Linked DNA regions of Caenorhabditis elegans. The protein of the gene in region 3 purifies or fractionates together with the protein of the main gene of each other region. This does not show direct contact. Each region holds a gene or a part of one and is shown on either strand. Other genes may lie near its edges.

Region 1 (6,565 bases), on a different chromosome or scaffold from region 3:
TTGCAATAAAAAAATTTCTATGACGTTATTAAACATCAAACATAAATAAATGAATATATATTTTAATTGAACTTGTAAGGGATTTAAGTTTTCGTGTTAATTTTTTTTTGAATTCTTGTGTTAATAAACTATTTTTTATACTTCCGATTTTATTTTAAACAAAAGCCACCACGAGGTGGCCGTCGTCACCTGCCTCTTAACACATGTGTTCTCTTCTCGTCTCCTCTCTTTCCCGGCTAGTCACATTAGTTTCGTATGTACAAACGACGCTCCGCAACGCTAAACAGAGGGCGATTGTTTTGAATAAACACAATTTGCGCGCGGTTATCCTCCGTGTTTTACTAACCAATGCTCATTGTTCTTTCTGTTTCTGCTAGCCTCTTATTTATTTCGGTGTCATGTAAGTGATTTCTTGTCTCTTCTTCAATTCCTTCAGTTTTTTCTATATTATTCTTCAAACGTCAAAACTTTTTTTTCAGCCACCGCAAAATGAACGATCAGCAGACCAACAACGAGTCAGACCACACGATGAGTAAAAGTGCCAAGAAAAGAGCCAAGAAGCAACAGCAGCAGAAAAGAGCATCCGAGAGTAACGATGAAAAGAATAGCCCAACAAAAAGCGATGCAGAAAATACCGAAGCAGTGAGCACACCCGAAAAAGTTTCCGATTCAGTTGAGCCAGAGAAGCAGGATCAAGTTGATCAACTGGTGCCATTGATTAATAAATTTGACGTGAATGGAAAAGCACTGAAAACAATTGCCGGTCATGGGACAGTTCATTTGGGAGAAATTACGCCGCACAACATTTTGGTGAGAATTTATTAATTTGTTGAAGGAAATGTATGTTATGAAACGAACTAGAATTCATAATATTAAATGAAACCCATATTTTCTCGATCAATGTGAATATGATGTAGCCTTAATTTTTGCGTCTTAAAAAATTGAATATTACTCTTGCACGCAGTGAATGTGAGCCCACTCAATAAAATTCTGTTCCGATTTATATATATTCTGTGAATGGCTAAAAAAGCAAACCTAGGCCGACTTTGCTGTTCATTTTTGAAGCTTTCAACATTGCCCTGTATTCTGTACCTGTGAAAATTGTGTAAATTGGCATAGAATGAGCTGTTAAAATACGTTGTAGCCTACCGAGCATGTCAGACAAGTAGTTGAACTCAAAGTTTGCTGAAGCACACTCAAAGTTTGCTGAAGGTCTTCACTCACTCTTGAACCAAACAGATGATTTTAACCTCCACCTTTTAAATTTAATTTAGCCTTCCCATTTTCATCAGTAAAACGCGATTTCTGAAATCCTATTTGTTTTTCAAACCTCAACAAAAAATACACGAACTTCATAAAACTCGAAACTCGATTTTTCAATTTACTATAATTTCAGCAACTGAAAAAGCTCAATGAAGATGTCTTCCCAATTGCCTACAACGACAAGTTCTATGTGGAAGCTCGATATTGCGGAGAACTTGGACGTCTTGCCTACTACAACGATGTCGTCGTGGGCGCCGTGTGCTGTCGCATTGACGATATTTCAGACGAGAAGTCGTTGTATCTCATGACACTTGGAACCCTTGCCGCCTACCGACAGTGAGTTTTGAGTCAGATCAAATTTACCTTATCAATGACGTTTTTTTGGTACAGTTCTACCTGAAAATGACGGTTTTAATAGCGTTAATTATTATACCAAGGGCGTTTTACGAGGTAATAAAATGTGCTATTTCAGAATCGGTATTGGTACAATTCTCATCGACTACGCATTAAAATTGTGCAATAAGATGGAAGAAATTAAGACCATGTACTTACATGTGCAGGTATCCAGAAAAAAGTGGATCTGAAAAAAAGTAATTTTCCAGGTCAACAACAAAAATGCGGTGCAATTCTATGAGAAGCATGGCTTCACCAATGACGGAATTATCGAGGACTACTATCGTATTAGCCCAAGAGACGCTTACTTGCTCATCAAACGAATCCGCCACTAAACTAGAATAGCTCATTTTGATATACAATATCTGAACTGTTTCCCTTTTCAAAATTACTTTATTTTTATCATAGCGACTGGTGGCATCCAAGCCTGGTCTGCAAGTTGGATCTCTAGCCATTGACAATTGCCAGCATGGTTGTTTTGTCTTCTTTCCCATCTTCAAGCATAACCGTGCCTACCCGTATGAAAACCATGTCTGTTTGAGATTTCCCATTTTTTCTATGCTTTATTTCATGTATCATCATTTTCAATTCTATTGACTTTTTGTTTTTTGGTAACTCTGGTAATTCGATTGTGAATTCTAAATGTCGAGGTTCTTTTATTGTCCGAGCAAATTTTATGTTTTGAATTTTGACTCATAAAAATGTAAGGCGTTTTATTGTTAACAAGAACATGAAAAATCAGGAGAGCCCGGGGGAAAATTTTATTATGCCCTTATGCATAGCATTGAAAGATAAGAAGTTGCCACGATGTTACGAGCGTGCCCAACCCATTTTCTTATTTAACGACTTTGATTGCTATAAGGTTTTCTTGATAGTACTTTTAGTCGCATTACTCCAGTGCTTCTTTTTCATTTTAAGCTGTTGATAATACCCCTTCAAGTTTGCTTCCAAAAAAACTAATATTTTTTATTTAGAAATGAGGAACTGGGTTTTGATTGCGGCCCTGGCCGTGATCTGCCTGGCGACTGAGCAGGAGCTCAGTCACAAGGACAGAATACGCGCGGTTTTGAGATCATGGAGTCCGGCATCGCAGAAGCAGTTTTTCGAGCCAGTCAGAGAGCAAAAGTACAGGACTATGGAAGAAAGGGTTATTTTTGTAAGGTCTAGCAAACAGGTGCGATTCGAATTTTTAATTTCAGTTGGACACCCATCATATTTCCAAAAGATCCATTGCTGAACCACACGTTTTGGCTGGAATGGCTACTCGAGGATGCAACAAGCCAGGGTACACCGGTGAAACTTGCCAATATCGTGAGTTTTAAGATTTATATTTCTAAAATGTTCCATGACGCAGAAATTTTTCAGCCCTCTGTTCTGCTCGCAACCCGTACATTCCGAACAACGACGGATTTGATGACATTGCAATTGATGCTTACAATCTGGCTAATTGCTCTGAATCATACATCGTCGTCGTTGACGAGACGATGCGGAATATCAAAATTGAAGTCGAGACGGCGTCAGCATTGAACCCAACATTCTATCTTCAAGCTGAAAATGGAGATCTCATATTCCCAGACGAATCCATTCAACTTCCAACAATGTTCACTGCAAATTATTTGCATCTGCCTCCCGGACAATATATGCTTGGACCACGAGCCGACACCAGCGAGCAGTTTTGTACAATGATGATGTCATCCCGCAGTAGCATTCATGTTTCCGGTGGATTCACTTCAGGAGATCAAGCCGAGCGTAGTGACTATCCAAATCTCAAGTTTACATATTTCGATACTGAGTCGGTTGTTGCAATTCATGCTCAAGGTTTGGACTTTCCTGGTCAAATCCAAGCAATTGGATTTACCGGTGCCGAGAACCACATCTCAAGATACATTCCAATGACAACCCGTTTCAACTGTACTTATCCATACATCTTGGAGAGATACACTTGCAGAAAAACCAGCAATAACGATGCTGGACACAATCTCATTCAAGTTCGATTGAACCAAAGGTGCTAAACATTCAAATTTTTGTTTTCAGGTGGAGGGTGTGACTAACTCTGGCTACAAGTTCCGTCGTATTGTTCCTTACCAATGCGTCTGTGAGTTTCTTTGTAGTGTATATAAGAAGTTTATATAAGACTTTTAAGAAAAAGTACCTTTTCAGTACCACCAGTAACAACTACTACCCCCGCTGTCCCGACAACACCTGCAGCACCGATAACTTCTTGTCAAAACGGAGGGCAGTTGCTTACTGACTCTAATGGAGTTGCATATTGTTATTGCTTTGGACTTTACTCTGGAAGTACTTGCTCGCAAATGCTCTGTGCTAACGGAGGTACAATTCATCCTTGAAATTATATATTTTTTATAATAACTATTAAGGTTTCTTGCCGACTCCAACCAGTGACCGTTGTCAATGCCCAGAAGGATTCAGTGGCTTCCATTGCCAGAATAGTATGCACTAGTAAAAATTATCTGTTAAAACATAATAACTTTGCAGTCTTGTGTACCGACATGTCAGGCTTTGACTTCAACGCTGAAAACCCAACTCTCACCCTTGTCATCCGATCAAGAAGCCAGCTCTCTGCAGTTATTGAACAAGCAACTGAGTCTGTTCAAAGTATTGTTGATCTTCTCGCTAGTGAACCTGGATATCTATCAAAGTTCATTGTTGTTCTTTTTGATAACGGAAGTGAGTTTTGATCTAAAACATATTTGACATGAAAGTGTATTATTTCAGAGCTCTTGGTGAACAGACAATATGATTCATGGGACGCTGCAATGGTCGATCTTACAAAAGCTATCCATTCCGCTCCAAGCGAAGGAGGATGTGATGATGTTGTCATGTCTGCTGTTGCGTAAGTTCACTGGTATGTAATAATGTTTAAAAATGCTAATTCATTACAGATCTGCACTTTCTCTCTATCCAACAAACAAATCCCCGATCTATGTGATTACGGACGCCACTCCAAATGATAGTGCTGAGAAGGAAACTGTGTTCCATCTGGAATCTTATTGGAGAGCACCGGTAAATAACATGAAAGCAAATAATGTTGACTCTATTTAAATTTCAGATCTACTTCATTTACGTTCAACCATCTCCAGCCGATGGATGTAACTCATCTCCAGATAACTCTGCATATAGAGATATGGTGGACATGGCTGCTCGTTCAAGTGGTAACACTTTCTATTTCAGCGACAGAAGCACTATTTCGACCGTAAGTCACTTCACTTTATATCTCCCATATCAATTAACTTTTATAGTTCTTCTACCGACACATGCTTAACACCTTGTTCCGATCCCAACTTGTTCTTTCCGGAGATTACTCACACTGCTCCAGCCAGAATCTGTACAAGTCAGCTGCCTTTGATCTTAGCGTTGACTACGTTACAATTGTAGCCACTGGAACAAATTTGACTCTAGTTGTGACAAGCCCAACAGGACAGTATCCAACTTTCAACACCGCCTTTTCTGATGGTGTGAACTATGTTTGGACGTATAACTCGCCAGTTGCTGGTCAATGGTTCTTCTCTATCAGATCACTTGAACCAGAAGCAGCTTGCACGTTTAAGGTTTATCAGAAGAAGTTCAACTTTGGCGGACAAACTCAATACAGCCCCGACTATGATATTTTCTGGTCATTCGCTTCTACTCTTACTTCGGCAGCAGGAGTTCTACGTCAGCCAGTTCTTGGATTTGATTCATCTCCAGTTTTCCATGTTACCAACTACCCTCAGTTCCTCTCAATGGACCGTGTGCATGCCAATCTTCAGATTTATGCTATTCGTGACGGAGTTCAAACCGAGGTTTACGGATCAAGTGGAATGTACAGAGATGCCTGTGAATTCAACTTCTACTTCCCACCATTCACTTGCCGTGTTCCAGAAGAAGTTCTTTACTTCAATTTCTTTGCTCGTGATAATAATGACATGGCTCTTCAACGTGCCGGAACTATGTTCTGTGCTGCCGTTCATCCTACCCCGCCACCAGATCATCAATGCCAAAATGGAGGAGTAATGAACCCATCGAACACCACTTGCTTCTGTACTCCGGAGTTCACAGGAACGTACTGTCAGAACATTATTTGTTACAATGGAGGAACAGCTAGCGGAGATCATTGCGTCTGCCCACCTGGTTACGCTGGTGAGAGCTGTGAGATGGCAAGATGTATTGAAACAGGACCAAATCCTGAATTCATCCGTTATGGAGTTGACATGGTGTTTGCCGTTGAAATCACTCAGAATTCTATTGCTTCACTTTCCATGCTCAATATCAACTTCCAAGAAATTCTCCGCGACGTTCTCATGCAAAATCGTGGATGGATTAGAAACTTTGTTCTGGTCGGTTTCAACTCTACATGGGGAGGACCAATTGCTGAATCACCAGCTGATAACCTCACTGCAATCACCACTGCTCTTCGCACTCTTGCTTCTTCAGTTCCAGCCGATACTGGATGTACTGTCAAACTTTGGGATGCTTTGAATTATGCCATTTTCTCCAGACAAATGGCACCGGGATCTTTTGTAGAAATCTTCCAAACCACTCCAGAAGATGATACTGATACTCGTTCGCTTGGTCTTTTCTATGATATGTCTAGAACAATGGAACTGGTTCTTTACGGTTTCTTGACTTCAAATCCACGTTTACAACCGGAAGGATTTGTTTGCAACGCCACCGTCGAAAACTATTATACTCTTCTCGGAATTGTCAGTGGATCTACCGGAACTACTTATAGCCTGCAAGCAAATGAAATTTCTAATGCTGTCAGACTCATTCCACTTCAGTTCTCTAACGGACAAGTCACATTCAACGCATTGGATGATTGTAGACACGACGATGGACTTATTACATACTTCCCTGTTGACGCATACACTCAAACAATTCAAATCCAAACATTTGGTTATGGAACAAC
Region 2 (6,530 bases), on a different chromosome or scaffold from region 3:
TTTCTTGGAAGTTATTGTCAAGCATGACAATTGAAGCAAGAGATTGCTGAGTAATTTCGACAGCGAACACCATGTCAACTCCGTAACGGATGAATTCAGGATTTGGTCCAGTTTCAATACATCTTGGCACCTCACAGCTTTCACCTGCGTATCCAGGCGGGCATACACACTGTCCTCCACTAACAGTTCCTCCGTTGTAGCAAACAATGTTCTGGCAGTACGTTCCAGTAAATTGTGGAGTACAGAAGCATGTCGTGTTGGTTGGATTCATAACTCCTCCGTTTTGGCATTGATGTTGTGGTGGTGGTGTTGGATGAACAGCCGAACAGAGCATTGTTCCAGCACGTTGGAGAGCCATATCATTGTTATCACGAGCGAAGAAGTTGAAGTAAAGAACTTCATCGGGGACATTACAGATGAATGGTGGGAAGTAGAAGTGGAATTCACAAGCATCTCTGTACATTCCACTTGATCCGTAAACCTCTGTTTGAACTCCGTCGCGGATAGCATAAATCTGAAGATTGGCGTGCACGCGGTCCATAGAAATGAATTCGGGGTAGTTGGAAACATGGAAAACAGGAGAAGCATCAAAACCAGCAACTGGTTGGCGGAGAACTCCGGCTGCAGAAGTGAGGGTAGTTGCGAAAGACCAGAAAATGTCATAGTCTGGATTGTATTGGCTCATTCCACCAAGGTTATACTTCTTCTGGTATACTTTGAAGGTACACGCAGAGTTTGGTGAGTCGGAAACCAAATTGAAGAACCATTGTCCAGCGAAGATTTGGTTGGAGGTCCAAATGTAGTTAACACCATCATTGAATGCAACAAAGAAGTCAGGGTGTGCTCCGGTTGGGGTTGTGACTTGAAGTTTCAAGTTAGATCCTGTAGCAACAACGACAACTTGATCAGCAGTCACGTCAACTGCAACCGATTTGTAGATGTTTTGATTAGCACAGTGAGAGTAATCTCCAGATAGAGCAAGTTGAGAGCGGAACAACGTGTTGTACATATGAACGTAGAAGAACTTAAAATATAATGCATTAATATTAAAGAATTAAAGAAACATACGTTGGAGATAGTGGTTCTGTTGTTAAAGTAGAACGTGTTTCCGCTGGACATCGCAGCCATATCGACCATATCTCTGTACCCAGCACTATCGGGTGAAGTATTGCAGCCACTTCCAATTGCTGGTTGCACGTAAATGAAGTAGACCTGAAACATTCTGGTATTTTCGAATAACTTTAAATTTAATAAATTTTCCATACTGGTGCTCTCCAATAAGATTCCAAGTGTACAATTGTTTGCTTCTCAGTGCTATCATTTGGATTGGCATCAGTGATTACATAGATTGGTGATTTGTTAGTTGGATAAAGAGAAAGAGCAGATCTGTAAAACAACCATGAAGATTCTGTAAAACATTGAAAAACTAGTCGATACTTACGCAACAGCAGAGAAAACAACATCATCACATCCACCGTCGGATGGGGCAGAGTTAATCGCTTTAAGTAGATCAACCATAGCGGCATCCCATGAGTCATATCTCTGGTTTACCAAAAGCTCTAAAAATTAAAATATAATGCATTACCGTTTCCTGATAAGAAGGTAGGCTTATGGGAGCCACCCCGGTAAATTAGTTGCAAATCAACTCACTGGCGTTATCAAAGAGCACAACGATGAAATTAGTGAGATAGCCAGGCTCGGCAGATAGTTCATCGACAATTCTTGAAACTGAATTTGTGGCCTGTTGAATAACATCTGACAATTGGCTTCTAGAACGAATGACCAGAGTAACAGTCGGGTTTTCAGCATTGAAATCAATTCCGGATGCACCAGGGCAGACAACTGTAATGCATTTGTGATCAGTTTATTTTCCGAGGCGACTTACTATTTTGACAGTGGAAACCGGTGAATCCTTCTGGACATTCACAATGTTCGCTTGTGGGAGTTGGAAGGAATCCTGAAAAATAAAATATTTGATGACCAATTTAGGCTGGCTCAAAAAAGTGTCCTTTTTAGAAGGTTGTCTTTGTGTTATCAACCATGTAGCACATCAATGGCAACATAGCGTTTTCTATTTAACAGCTCTAGTTACAGTATTCACCTCCATTAGCACACAACATCTGAGAACAGTCACGTCCGGTGTATAGTCCAAAACAGTAACAGTATGGTGAACCACTGGAATCCTTCAAAACTTGACCTCCGTTCTGGCAGGTTGTCAATGGAGCAGCGGTTGTTGTTGGAGCAGGGACAGTGGTGGTAGACACTGGTGGCACTAAATTACTCAGGTTGATTATTGTTGTCAACTACGTTCACTTACAAATACATTGGTAGGGCAGAATACGACGGAAAACGTATCCGTTATCGCTCATTCCTTCAACCTGAACTTTTATGATTGCAATTTATATCAATTCATTGCACTTACCTGTAATAAATTGTGCCCAATATCGTTATTTCCAATTTTTCTGCAAGTATACCTCTCCAAAATATATGGATAAGTACAATTGAAGCGAGTTGCCATAGGAATGTATCTTGAGATATGGTTCTCGGCGCCAGTGAATCCAATCGCCTGAATTTGACCGGGAAAGTGTAGTCCTTGTGCATGAAGAACAACAGCTGATTCAGTGTCAAAATAGGCAAACTTGAGGGTTGGATAGTCGCTGCGCTCTGGTTGATCGCCTGATGTAAAACCTCCAGTAACTTGAATATTGGTATGAGCGGTCATCATCATAGTACAAAATTCATCTCCAGAATCAGCTCTTGGTCCGAGAAGATACTGGCCTGGCGCTAAAGTCTCATATGTTGCCACATAGGAAGTTACGGTTTTTCTGTCAGTGTCAGGGAAGATCAGATCTCCACTCTCAGATTGGAGGTAGAAAGTTGGATTCAATGGTGACTCAGTTTCGACCTCAATTTTGATATTCCGCATGGTCTCATCAACAACAACGACGTATGTTTGACTGCAGTTTGCAAGATTTGTTGCATCAATAGAGATATCGTCAGAATCCTTGTTATCAGGAATGTAAGGATTGCGAGCAGAGCACAATGCTAAGAAATTGCATTTTTAGTTTAAAAACACATATGTGATCCGACTTACGATATTGACAGGTGGCTCCTGTGTATCCTGGCTTGTTACATCCTCTGGTGGCCATTCCAGCAAAAACATGAGGCTCGGCGATAGATCTTTTGGAGATATGATGAGTATCAACCTGAAACCATATATGGAACATAGTTAAACGAAATCTAGAACTTACAAAGAGATCGGACTGCTCATCGAATTGAATCTTCTGTTCACTGACTGGGTGGAAGAGTTGATTACTGTTGGCCGGGTTCCATGACTTTAAGACTTTGCGGATTCTCTCTTTGTGACTGAGCTCAGGCTCAGCGCCCAGGCAGATCACGGCTAACGCCGCAATCAAAACCCAGCTTCTCATTACTGAAATTTCACATTAATTTAATTGCTCTTAAACTCCAAAAAAACTAAATATCGTAAAAGGTATTGAGTTCTGAAAATGAATGTGAAAAGGCAGGAGCAGCCTGGCAAATCTAATGAAATTATCATGAAATAATGATTTAAACCCTTTTTAATCGCAAAAGGAGAGTGTGTCCGGCACGTCATATCACCGTGGCAAACTCTTATCTTTGCCATCTCAAACAGTATTAAAATTTATTCCACGCCCTTTGCATTCTAATTGAGTAGTAGCAGAATAATGTCACAGAATACGATTTTGTATCATCAAATTATTATCAAGCACTTTCTGATGATTTCGACTTGAAGTTCAACCACTAGTAAAGTTTATTGAATTGCCATCACATTTCACTTTTGTATTATATTTTTTCTCTCGTAATTTTGATTTTTCGGTCCAACACATAAATTGTTAAATAATGATAAGTTTATTAAAATTCAAATTATTTCAGTGATTTCCGGGTCGACTGCCTTAGTTGTTGATACAGTAGACACCTCCATTGGCGCTGAAAATAAGAACATTTCACTTAATGAACACACTTATATATCTTACTTGGCATTGAGGATAAGTTGCTGAATGGTCTTAATTTGGTTATTCAAACTAGCAAAATCTGGAGCTGTAAACGAGCAAGCACTTCCTCCGGAAATAGTTTGCAACTTGTTGTTATCAGTCGCGCCACCATAACCAATAGTGATGATTCCGTATTGCTTCTGCGCGAGAATTGTCTGAGCTGCCGGAGTTGGATCGGTGTCGAAGCTAAAAAATATTAATTTTATCTGGCAATCTTTTGAACACTTACGCAGTAGTTGTAGTAAGGTAGATCAACACATGGTTGCTAATGCCACTACGGTAACCATTGTTCGCCGCCATGAAATCGGGAGAAGACACAATTTGAAGAGTGTAGTTAAGAATTTGCCCGGCGTCTTCAAAGTCAGTGTAGCCACCGCTGAGTTGGGCCAAGTTAGAGTTCAACATTGCTTGAGAGGAGAGGGAGTTCAGATTGGCAGCAGGAGGAATTGGGTTTGTGATATCACCTCCGACGACAATTAATCCAACACGAGCTCCACTCTGGCCAACATTGAACGAAACCATGAATGTTTGAACAAATTTGGTGAGCTGAAATTCATATGATGGAAACATAAAGGGCATATAATGTATACCGAGTCAAAGCTGGATTGTGCACTTTGTGATCCATCGATCATAAATACAACATCAAACTGAGCGGATGTGTATGGATTTTGGGTCTGTAAGTTCAGAATTTCTAAATCACCAGTAATACTTGAAATTTACCGTGGCGACTGGTCCCTGAGTTGGTTGAGTTCCTGGGACTTGAGTTTGCTGAGTTACTGGACCTTGAGTCAGCGCGGTTTGTTGAGTTGGCATGGTGATTGGGCCAATTGTTCCTGTTGCTGGCTGGTTGGTTGTTGGGCTACGTCCTGAAAAATTTCTTGCACAATTAAACAAGTAAGCGTATATTACCATTGCAGATGACAATTTCTTGTCTTCTGAACTTTTGGTTTGCTTCATCAACTCCATGAACATAGACGGCAATCATGTCGCCGTTGCAAGTGAACAAATCAGAGTAGTACTCGTAAGAGCAGCCTGCTCGAACGTAGAGCTCTGATCGGAGAATGTTCTGAAATTTTATCACTTCTGAGTTTATTCTCTTGTGAAGGGACAATTTTAATGTTGCTTACTGTGATTGAGTTAGCTCCAATATCGAAGATTTCTACATACTGCAATTGTCCTCTGTGGAATGGATTGCCAGCAAGATGGAAAACAGCGACATTGTCAAAACCAGCTGTTGGTTGTACGAAACGTCCATCCTGATGTGAACCAAGTGGATCAGGCTTTCCTCCGATTGGGTTTGGCATCGAGAACTTTGTGTAGACCTTCGCTCCACCAGTTGAATAGACATGTGCAAGGCACAATCCTGGAGGCTGAACAAGTTGGAGTGTCCAGATTCCTCCAAGTCTGTCTACTTCAATTGCGTAGATCTTTTGATCATTCACGTTGTAAACTGGGGTAGCACTGTGAGCCGCTGAAACAAGTCGAGGTGTTGATAATATTTAAAAAAAAACGACTAACCTCCAAGAGGATCCTTGACAGAAAGTGAACCAAACTCGGCAGAAGTGGTGACGTAGATAAATGTTGTGTTGATATCAACTGGCACAAACCAAGGAAGAGATCCATCGGAACAGGTGTAGTTCGTGATGCCGGTAGGATCTTGAAGAACTGAAGCTCCGTACAGAGTTGGAAGATAAGAATTGAAAAGCTGTAAAATTGATATATTGTGCTAACTAGTTGATAAACAATGCTACACTCACGTTGACAATGTTTGCAGGATCAGTGAACAAGATGTTTCCGCTTGATCCGTATCCAAGCCATGTCATGTCTCTGACATTATTGACACCATCGAATGTTGCACAGTTTGCGGTCTTGGAGACGACATAGTGCAACTGAAAATTCGAACATGTATGATTCATCGAGTTAGCTGTTACTTACGTGTGCTTGAGTGTTAAACAAAACTTCCATAGTTTCAACATAGTTTCCGAGGTCACTTGGTCCAGCAGGAGTGACCAAGAAAATTTCACTATTCGGCATAGCAATAACATCATCATGTTCCAGAAGATGCGCAAGAACTCTGAACGTTAAAACCATACAAAAAATTAGTGAAAAACTAGATTACCCGAGATATGGCATACTGCAAACTCCATCAGTAGAAATGGCGTTAGATTGTGTGGTGAGATCGGTGATAAGATCATCGATGGAAGTGTAGTCGAATTTTTCAAATGTTCTTCCAGTGGCTGAAAATTACAACTGATATGTATCAGAGGACAAGAATAATATGCTTACTATCAAAAGTAACAAGTCCGAAATTGGTGAACCAAAGTGGCATATTATTCGTTACCGCTGAAACAATGTTCTTCAGATTGGCAATGAGCTGATTGACAGTGTCAGAGTTTTGCCTTGTTGTTTCCACGACCATGAGCAATGATTTTCTATCATTACTGAACAATTGTGGGACGTTGGGTTGACAAACCTCTGAAATATTATTATTTCATT
Region 3 (6,321 bases):
GGTCGTTGGAAGGCCTCGAGAAGGTCTATTGACGGGTGATCCCGCAGAAGGACCTACTACAGATGCAAAATATATGATTTACTCGAATATTACACAGAAAGTCGACCATTTCTCAAATGGAACAAATATTGGAGTTTGGCAACAGGTGAGTCCCCCTAGGTGTATGTGAAGCGTGACTTAGAAATATTAAAGCCCCTTTGCGTACTTGAACGAATTTGTTGACTCATCAAATGTATGATTTTTGTTCTGTTATCACTTTTAATCGGACAAAAATTAATAAGAATTTACAAAAACGTTCGGTGGAAAATACCGAAAAAAATCCCAAAGAGGCGTGTCTTGTGTCAAAAAAAAACCTCTTCAGCACTACCAATACAATTGGAAATTTTACAACAAAACAACTGGATACGTCTTCCTGATGATTGGTGGTGAAAGTTCCATCAATAAAACTAATGGAGATAGATGGATCCGTCATGAAGGAGAAACCATGATGAAATGGGTGGCAGAGTTCCAAGCCGCCGCTTTTCAAGTCGAGCACAGATTTTACGGATCTAAAGAATATTCCCCAATTGGAGATCAGACAACAGCGAGCATGAAGCTTTTGACAATTGATCAGGCACTTGCTGATATTAAAGAGTTTATTACTCAAATAAATGCACTTTATTTCAAAGATGACAAACCAATTTGGGTGACATTCGGAGGATCATATCCTGGATCATTGTCTGCTTTCTTTAGAGAAACATATCCAGAAATGACTGCAGGAGCAGTATCATCTTCTTCTGCTGTTCATGTATTTGTAGATTATTATGGATATGCTATTAATACTGAAAAGACTTATAGAACTGTTAGTGACTCCTGTGGAGATGTTATCAAGGTTGCATTCCAAAAGCTTATCACTAAAGCATATAATGGATCGGATAGCCGTGCACTTCTTAAACAACAATTCAAGTGGGTTTCATAAATAAAATATGTACCTAGTTTTTGAGAAAAAATGATTTTAATTTTAATATCATTGAAATCTCTCAAAAATTTGAGATTCTTAGCTTTTGTCAGTTTTGGCAGGATTTAGTTTCTTCCAGAATTATTTTTTTCACAAAAAGGACATACCTTTTTGGGAAGTTCTGAAAATACTATCACGAGCTTAACCAATATGTCCTAAATCCAATTTTTCCAGTCTTTGTGACAGCTTCGACGAGACGAATCTATCAAAAGCCGTGCAATTTTTTTTCCAAAATGTCTATGGATACTTTCAGATAATCAATCAATATACCGGAGATAATAAGGTTCATTATGAACATCTCTTCATTACTTCAAAAAACAACACAATTTTAGAGCAATGCTACACGATCCGGATTGGGAGTTCCTGCAGCTTGTGATCTTCTAAACAACGCGACAATTGGAGATGAGGTCCAGAGAGTTATTGCTGTAGTAGGTGTACCTCTACTAGTAGTGCACCTAATTTTAACTTCCAGATGAATCTTTATGATTCCTGGTTTAAGCCATCAGCGTCTGGATGCCGACCAAATAATTACACAGCTTTTATTCAAGCCTATTCGGACACTACAATGCCCAATGAGAACGTCAGTGAGTTTCCGAGTATTGTAAAGGTACTGTAGAATCGAATTGAAATTCCAGTTGGCACTCGCAGTTGGATCTGGCAGACTTGCACGGAGCTCGGATATTATCAGACTACTGACGGAGGAAATGGTGGAATCTTTGGATCTACAGTTCCACTTGAGTAAGAACAAACAAAACGTTAAAGCCAGGTAGTACTGTATTTTGAAAATATTTTCAGTTTCTTCGCCGATCAATGCATTGATCTCTTTGGGCCGGAATACACCCTGGATAATACTTTCAAACTCGTAGATCAAGTTCGTACTAAATACGGAGGAGCTGGCACATATCGTGGAACCAATGTCGTTTTTCCAAACGGATCCTTCGATCCTTGGAATGGTCTTGGCTACAAATGGAATAACACGAATAATAATGTTGATGCTTGGTTGATCGAAGGAACATCTCATTGTGCTGATATGTATCCAGCAAGCGATTCGGATAAACAATCATTGAAAGATGCGAGAATCCGGATTCATGGTCATTTATCCAGGTGGCTATCAGATGCACAGGCTATTAGGCAGCATTCAGGTAGGTTCATTTAAGAATGCCTCTTATTCAAATGGGTCTTGCCACGAAAAAATTGTATGTTAATAAGAATTATTCAGTTAAGAAAACATTAATCAAGTTTTTTTATTGATAAAATCACAGAAATTCCCACTTTTTCCTCGCGGCAATACCTTTTTTTCAATAAATACGTGGGCCTTTAAGTACGCAGATAACTGCAAACTCAAGATACTACACTTTCAATATTTATAGTTTTTCAGGTTCCACTACAAACTTCTCAATCTTCACCGCCATCTCCATTGTAATTTTCAGCATCCTATTCTAACTTTCAAAATATTATTTTTCAAATTTTATTCTAGAAATAATAAAAGTCCAATTTTGATTACATTTGCAAAATGACGTTGTGTGAACACACCCTGAAATTGCGTTTTCACCTCGCTAATAAGATGAAAGTGGTTGGAAGGGAGGAGTGCCTAATAAAATGAGTTGGATAGTGATAGGGAGCAGGCAAATATTCGCCGACGACGGTTTGCCGTCGTTATCAATCCCCGAGACGACTTTTTCAATTTGCCAGCCCTGCGTCACCATCACCTTTTCGGCATGAAGTTTGCCATCGTTTTTGCTGGTACGTAGATTTTATCGAACAAAGGTTTAAAAATAACTTTGGAGATTTTCAGCTCTTTACGGAGCCGCTGTTGCTCAATTCGGAACTGACAACTGTGTGAGCGCACAGTTTCAGGCTTGTAATAGCAAGTTAGGAGATTTTTGGAGAACTGAGTAAGTTTTACAAACGAAATTGTGACTAATTTTTTGAAAATCATGTGGTGTCAGAGTGTCTCATTTCACCTTGATCTACGTAGATCTACAAAACATGCGGGAGAAGAGACGCAAAGTTCTCAACTTATTTCGCATGGTTGAGAACGTGCTGAGGTCGCATTTTTTGTGCAAAAAATTCCCGTTTTTTTGTAGATCAAACCGTAATGGGACAGCTTGGCACTGCGAAAAAATTGCCGGGTGGAGTCGGTGAACACATATTTTTGAAAAGTATGCAAACACCGCCGCACAATTAAAACAAAATTTACATTTTAAAGTATAATTGATAATTTAAAAATTGTATTTCTATAGAAAATTGAAATTACCATAGACCGACATTTTAAGCTTTTCTACTTACTTTTTCAAATTTTTCACACATTTTTGCATTTAACTCTATGAACAATTTTTTGCTCTTATATACATAGTTATATACATAATAATTTGATCTTAATGTTAATTTTCTCAATCTTATGATGATATTAATATTCAAATTCCAATTGAGTAAAACTTCCACATATAAAATTTGCAAATCTAATGCGATTATGTTCTGATAAGGTCAGTAGCAACAGAACACACCTAGTATAGATATCAATACCTATAATGTGATCCGAGTAGTTCTAGAAGTAGATAAACACTATTATTTTCAGTCTACAAGTATTGATTTTAAAACTAGATACCTGAAATTGACCTTTAAATTGTTTTCACCCCGTCATTCAGAACATATTTTCAGCACCACCTCTGCCTGGAAGGACTTGGCGAGCTTGGACAGAATCACCCAGTCTCTCATCGTCTCCCCATATGTCATTGACTCATGGGTCAATGTTTGCAAGTAAGCCTTTCTTTTTAAAATCTTTAACTTTTCAATTCCGAAATTCCAGCGGTTACGCTGCCTTTTACGGATGCCTTGGACAAGCTCAAATCCGCAATTGCCTCGGAACCGTCGGACTCGTCGGATCTGGACTCGATCTTAACACCGCCTACGCTTACCAAGGATTCTTGGCCGACTGGGATTTCAAGTGTGGAGCCGGATTCTGGAGTAAGCGCCATTGATCTTTTAGCAGATTTTCAAATTTCGAACATTCTTCAGCTATGTACGAGCGTAAGACCCTGACCACTTGCGTCGAGAGCACCTACGTCAACTACCAACAAGAGACATCTGCCGCTATGAATACCTACATGACTGCCACCGCTCAAGACCCAAATGGTGCTTGCAAGTATGCTCAGAATCTCATGAACGCGTGGCAGAACACCTACACCAAGGGACCATGCCGTACAGTTATGCCAGTAAGTCTTAGCAATTGCTGAGCTAGAGAGAAAAAAGCTTTGTTCAGGCTCAAGCCGGATGGTTCGGATGCCAATCGGCTCGTGAATGGTCTAATGCTCAATTCAGACACTGCAAGCATACTACACAATGTGCATGTAAGTTTGAAAAAGTTTGCCTGCCCCAAGGCGACCTAGGATGGTCTGCAAGAGGGCCTAGACCTATCAGCATTGCTACTGATTGTGAGACTTGCATGCAATTGTATTCCTATTCACAAGGTTTCCTACAAGGTCACCTATGTCTGCCTACATGATTGCCTCTTGTTTTCTACAAGAATACCTAGGTTTGCCTAAGTTTACCTAGACAAACCTACAAGGTAATCTAGGCCTATCAACACGGTGACCTAGACCAGCCTACAATTTCACCTAGGTCTACCTACAAAGTTACCTCGGCATACTTACAAAGTTGCCTAAGCACGAGGCGGCCAAGTAGGCAAAATTAAACACCTACCTACCATACAAAACTTCAATATTTCCAGCTCCAACTTCCAACGAGGCTGTGACCAGATTCAACACTGAAACCGGAAAGGTTGAATATGAGACTCGTGAGTTTTATTTTTATTTTTCAGTTTTTTTTATCCCAAGTTCCAAAATTTCTAGTCCCTACCTACCAAATCGTCGACAATAAGGCCGTCGTCCTGAATGAGGCCTCCTGGATTTCCGAGTAATTTTGATTTTTTAATTTTTGAAATAATTATAATTTTCTTTCATTCCTTTTACCTGTCTATCATGAACTTTTTTGGGTTGAATCACACATACACAATCAGTCTGATAAAGTAAACCAATAACTATTTATTGCACTTCACGTTTCACTAAAAAGCACCTTTCAAAGCAAATAAGAGAGACCGACAGAGAAATTGAGAAAAATCAGTTAAGTTCTGCGGCGGCGGGATCCGCTGTCAAAGAAGACTCCTCCGTCGATGGCACAGTACCTGGAATTTTTCGTGTAAATTTATCATTTCTGCAGGCCTAGGTAATCATGCAGGCATTCCTAGGTAACCTTGAAATCAGGTCAAGGTAATCATGTAGGCCGGCCTACCAACTTACTTTGGGCAGATCCCCTCCTCTCCCGGTCTTCCTTGAATTCCAGCTTCTCCGAGATCTCCATCATTTCCATTTTCTCCATCCACTCCATCTTTTCCTGGTGGTCCCGGTGGTCCAACTTGTCCTGGTTTACCATCTCTTCCATCATTTCCAGGTTGTCCGGCTTCTCCTGATTGTCCCTCATCTCCATCATCCCCAGGTGGTCCAACATCGGAAGTATCAACCTCCCCAGGTTCTCCATCAGCTCCGTCTTCTCCCTTTGTCCCTGGAACTCCGTCGATTCCAGTTTTTCCAGGCCTTCCCGGACGTCCATCCAGCCCATCGAATCCACGTCGCCCCTTCAATCCAGGCAATCCATTGTTACCTGGTGACCCACGGGGTCCCGGCTCTCCCGGCTCTCCAGCTGGACAGTCACATGGGCTTGCAAGTGTTGGATCACATGGACCTCTCGGTGGCTCTCCAGGATTTCCTGGTCTTCCAGGTGCTCCAGGAGCTCCGTGGCGTCCATGTCTTCCTGGGGTTCCGCTGGGGCCTGGAGCTCCAGGAATACAACAGCCATCACAGGTTCCTGTGGTTTCATCTGAACAGTTTGAGAGTTTTTAAAAAGTACAGATTCGGGGAAAAAGTAAACCTTCATCAAATCGTCTCCTGGGTTTTGCTCCTCGGATGCTTCTGGTGTGGTTCGAGGTGGCAATCAGTACGGATAGCTCGTCAACACCTTCGTAGATTGTTCTCACAACATCGTTGCATTCCTGAGATGAGAGTTTTAAGTATAGGACCCACACAACCTTTAGGGGCCTCGAGGCGTTATAGAACGAACTGTAGGTGCGTAAACTTTGCAAGAAAGGTCATCTAGGTTTGCCCAAAATCATCTAATATAGAATTTCTAACATAGAATCTGAAATTTCGAATCGCTAAGCTGAAAAGGATTCAGGATCAAGCCGTGACGAATGGGCCTCCCCGCTTGCCACTAACGGCAGCATTGATTTTTCGGAGGCGTTTTCCGGGCCAGAGAAATATAAAAAAGAA

What was found.
Region 1: the proteins of nspg-10 (region 3) and irg-7 fractionate together in Caenorhabditis elegans (co-fractionation; one large-scale study listed by BioGRID). This does not show direct contact.
Region 2: the proteins of nspg-10 (region 3) and hrg-11.2 fractionate together in Caenorhabditis elegans (co-fractionation; one large-scale study listed by BioGRID). This does not show direct contact.

The regions. Positions count from the first base shown.
Region 1 is NC_003284.9:3,239,692-3,246,256, reverse strand, and holds the start of irg-7 (Protein irg-7), read left to right. Parts: upstream 1-2,620; 5' UTR 2,621-2,632; coding exon 2,633-2,812; intron 2,813-2,855; coding exon 2,856-2,967; intron 2,968-3,021; coding exon 3,022-3,644; intron 3,645-3,690; coding exon 3,691-3,751; intron 3,752-3,816; coding exon 3,817-3,987; intron 3,988-4,034; coding exon 4,035-4,106; intron 4,107-4,152; coding exon 4,153-4,344; intron 4,345-4,392; coding exon 4,393-4,510; intron 4,511-4,559; coding exon 4,560-4,680; intron 4,681-4,726; coding exon 4,727-4,870; intron 4,871-4,916; coding exon 4,917-6,565. Other genes in the region: F40F4.7 (N-terminal methionine N(alpha)-acetyltransferase NatE), read left to right, coding at 490-810, 1,397-1,599, 1,736-1,823, 1,866-1,991.
Region 2 is NC_003284.9:3,231,976-3,238,505, forward strand, and holds the start of hrg-11.2 (C-type LECtin), read right to left. Parts: upstream 3,434-6,530; 5' UTR 3,432-3,433; coding exon 3,252-3,431; intron 3,207-3,251; coding exon 3,095-3,206; intron 3,046-3,094; coding exon 2,423-3,045; intron 2,379-2,422; coding exon 2,318-2,378; intron 2,273-2,317; coding exon 2,102-2,272; intron 1,958-2,101; coding exon 1,886-1,957; intron 1,843-1,885; coding exon 1,651-1,842; intron 1,560-1,650; coding exon 1,442-1,559; intron 1,387-1,441; coding exon 1,266-1,386; intron 1,213-1,265; coding exon 1,069-1,212; intron 1,025-1,068; coding exon 1-1,024. Other genes in the region: Protein irg-7, read right to left, coding at 3,936-3,969, 4,017-4,220, 4,264-4,580, 4,625-4,708, 4,755-4,900, 4,944-5,100, 5,162-5,505, 5,553-5,739 and 4 more.
Region 3 is NC_003282.8:4,603,175-4,609,495, forward strand, and holds nspg-10 (uncharacterized protein), read left to right. Parts: upstream 1-2,611; 5' UTR 2,612-2,715; coding exon 2,716-2,740; intron 2,741-2,792; coding exon 2,793-2,892; intron 2,893-3,658; coding exon 3,659-3,757; intron 3,758-3,806; coding exon 3,807-3,964; intron 3,965-4,015; coding exon 4,016-4,212; intron 4,213-4,259; coding exon 4,260-4,347; intron 4,348-4,727; coding exon 4,728-4,793; intron 4,794-4,848; coding exon 4,849-4,916; 3' UTR 4,917-5,043; downstream 5,044-6,321. Other genes in the region: F19C7.4 (Serine protease K12H4.7), read left to right, coding at 1-145, 362-945, 1,172-1,280, 1,330-1,425, 1,470-1,581, 1,633-1,735, 1,793-2,139, 2,376-2,440; col-110 (Nematode cuticle collagen N-terminal domain-containing protein), read right to left, coding at 5,120-5,180, 5,296-5,872, 5,924-6,044.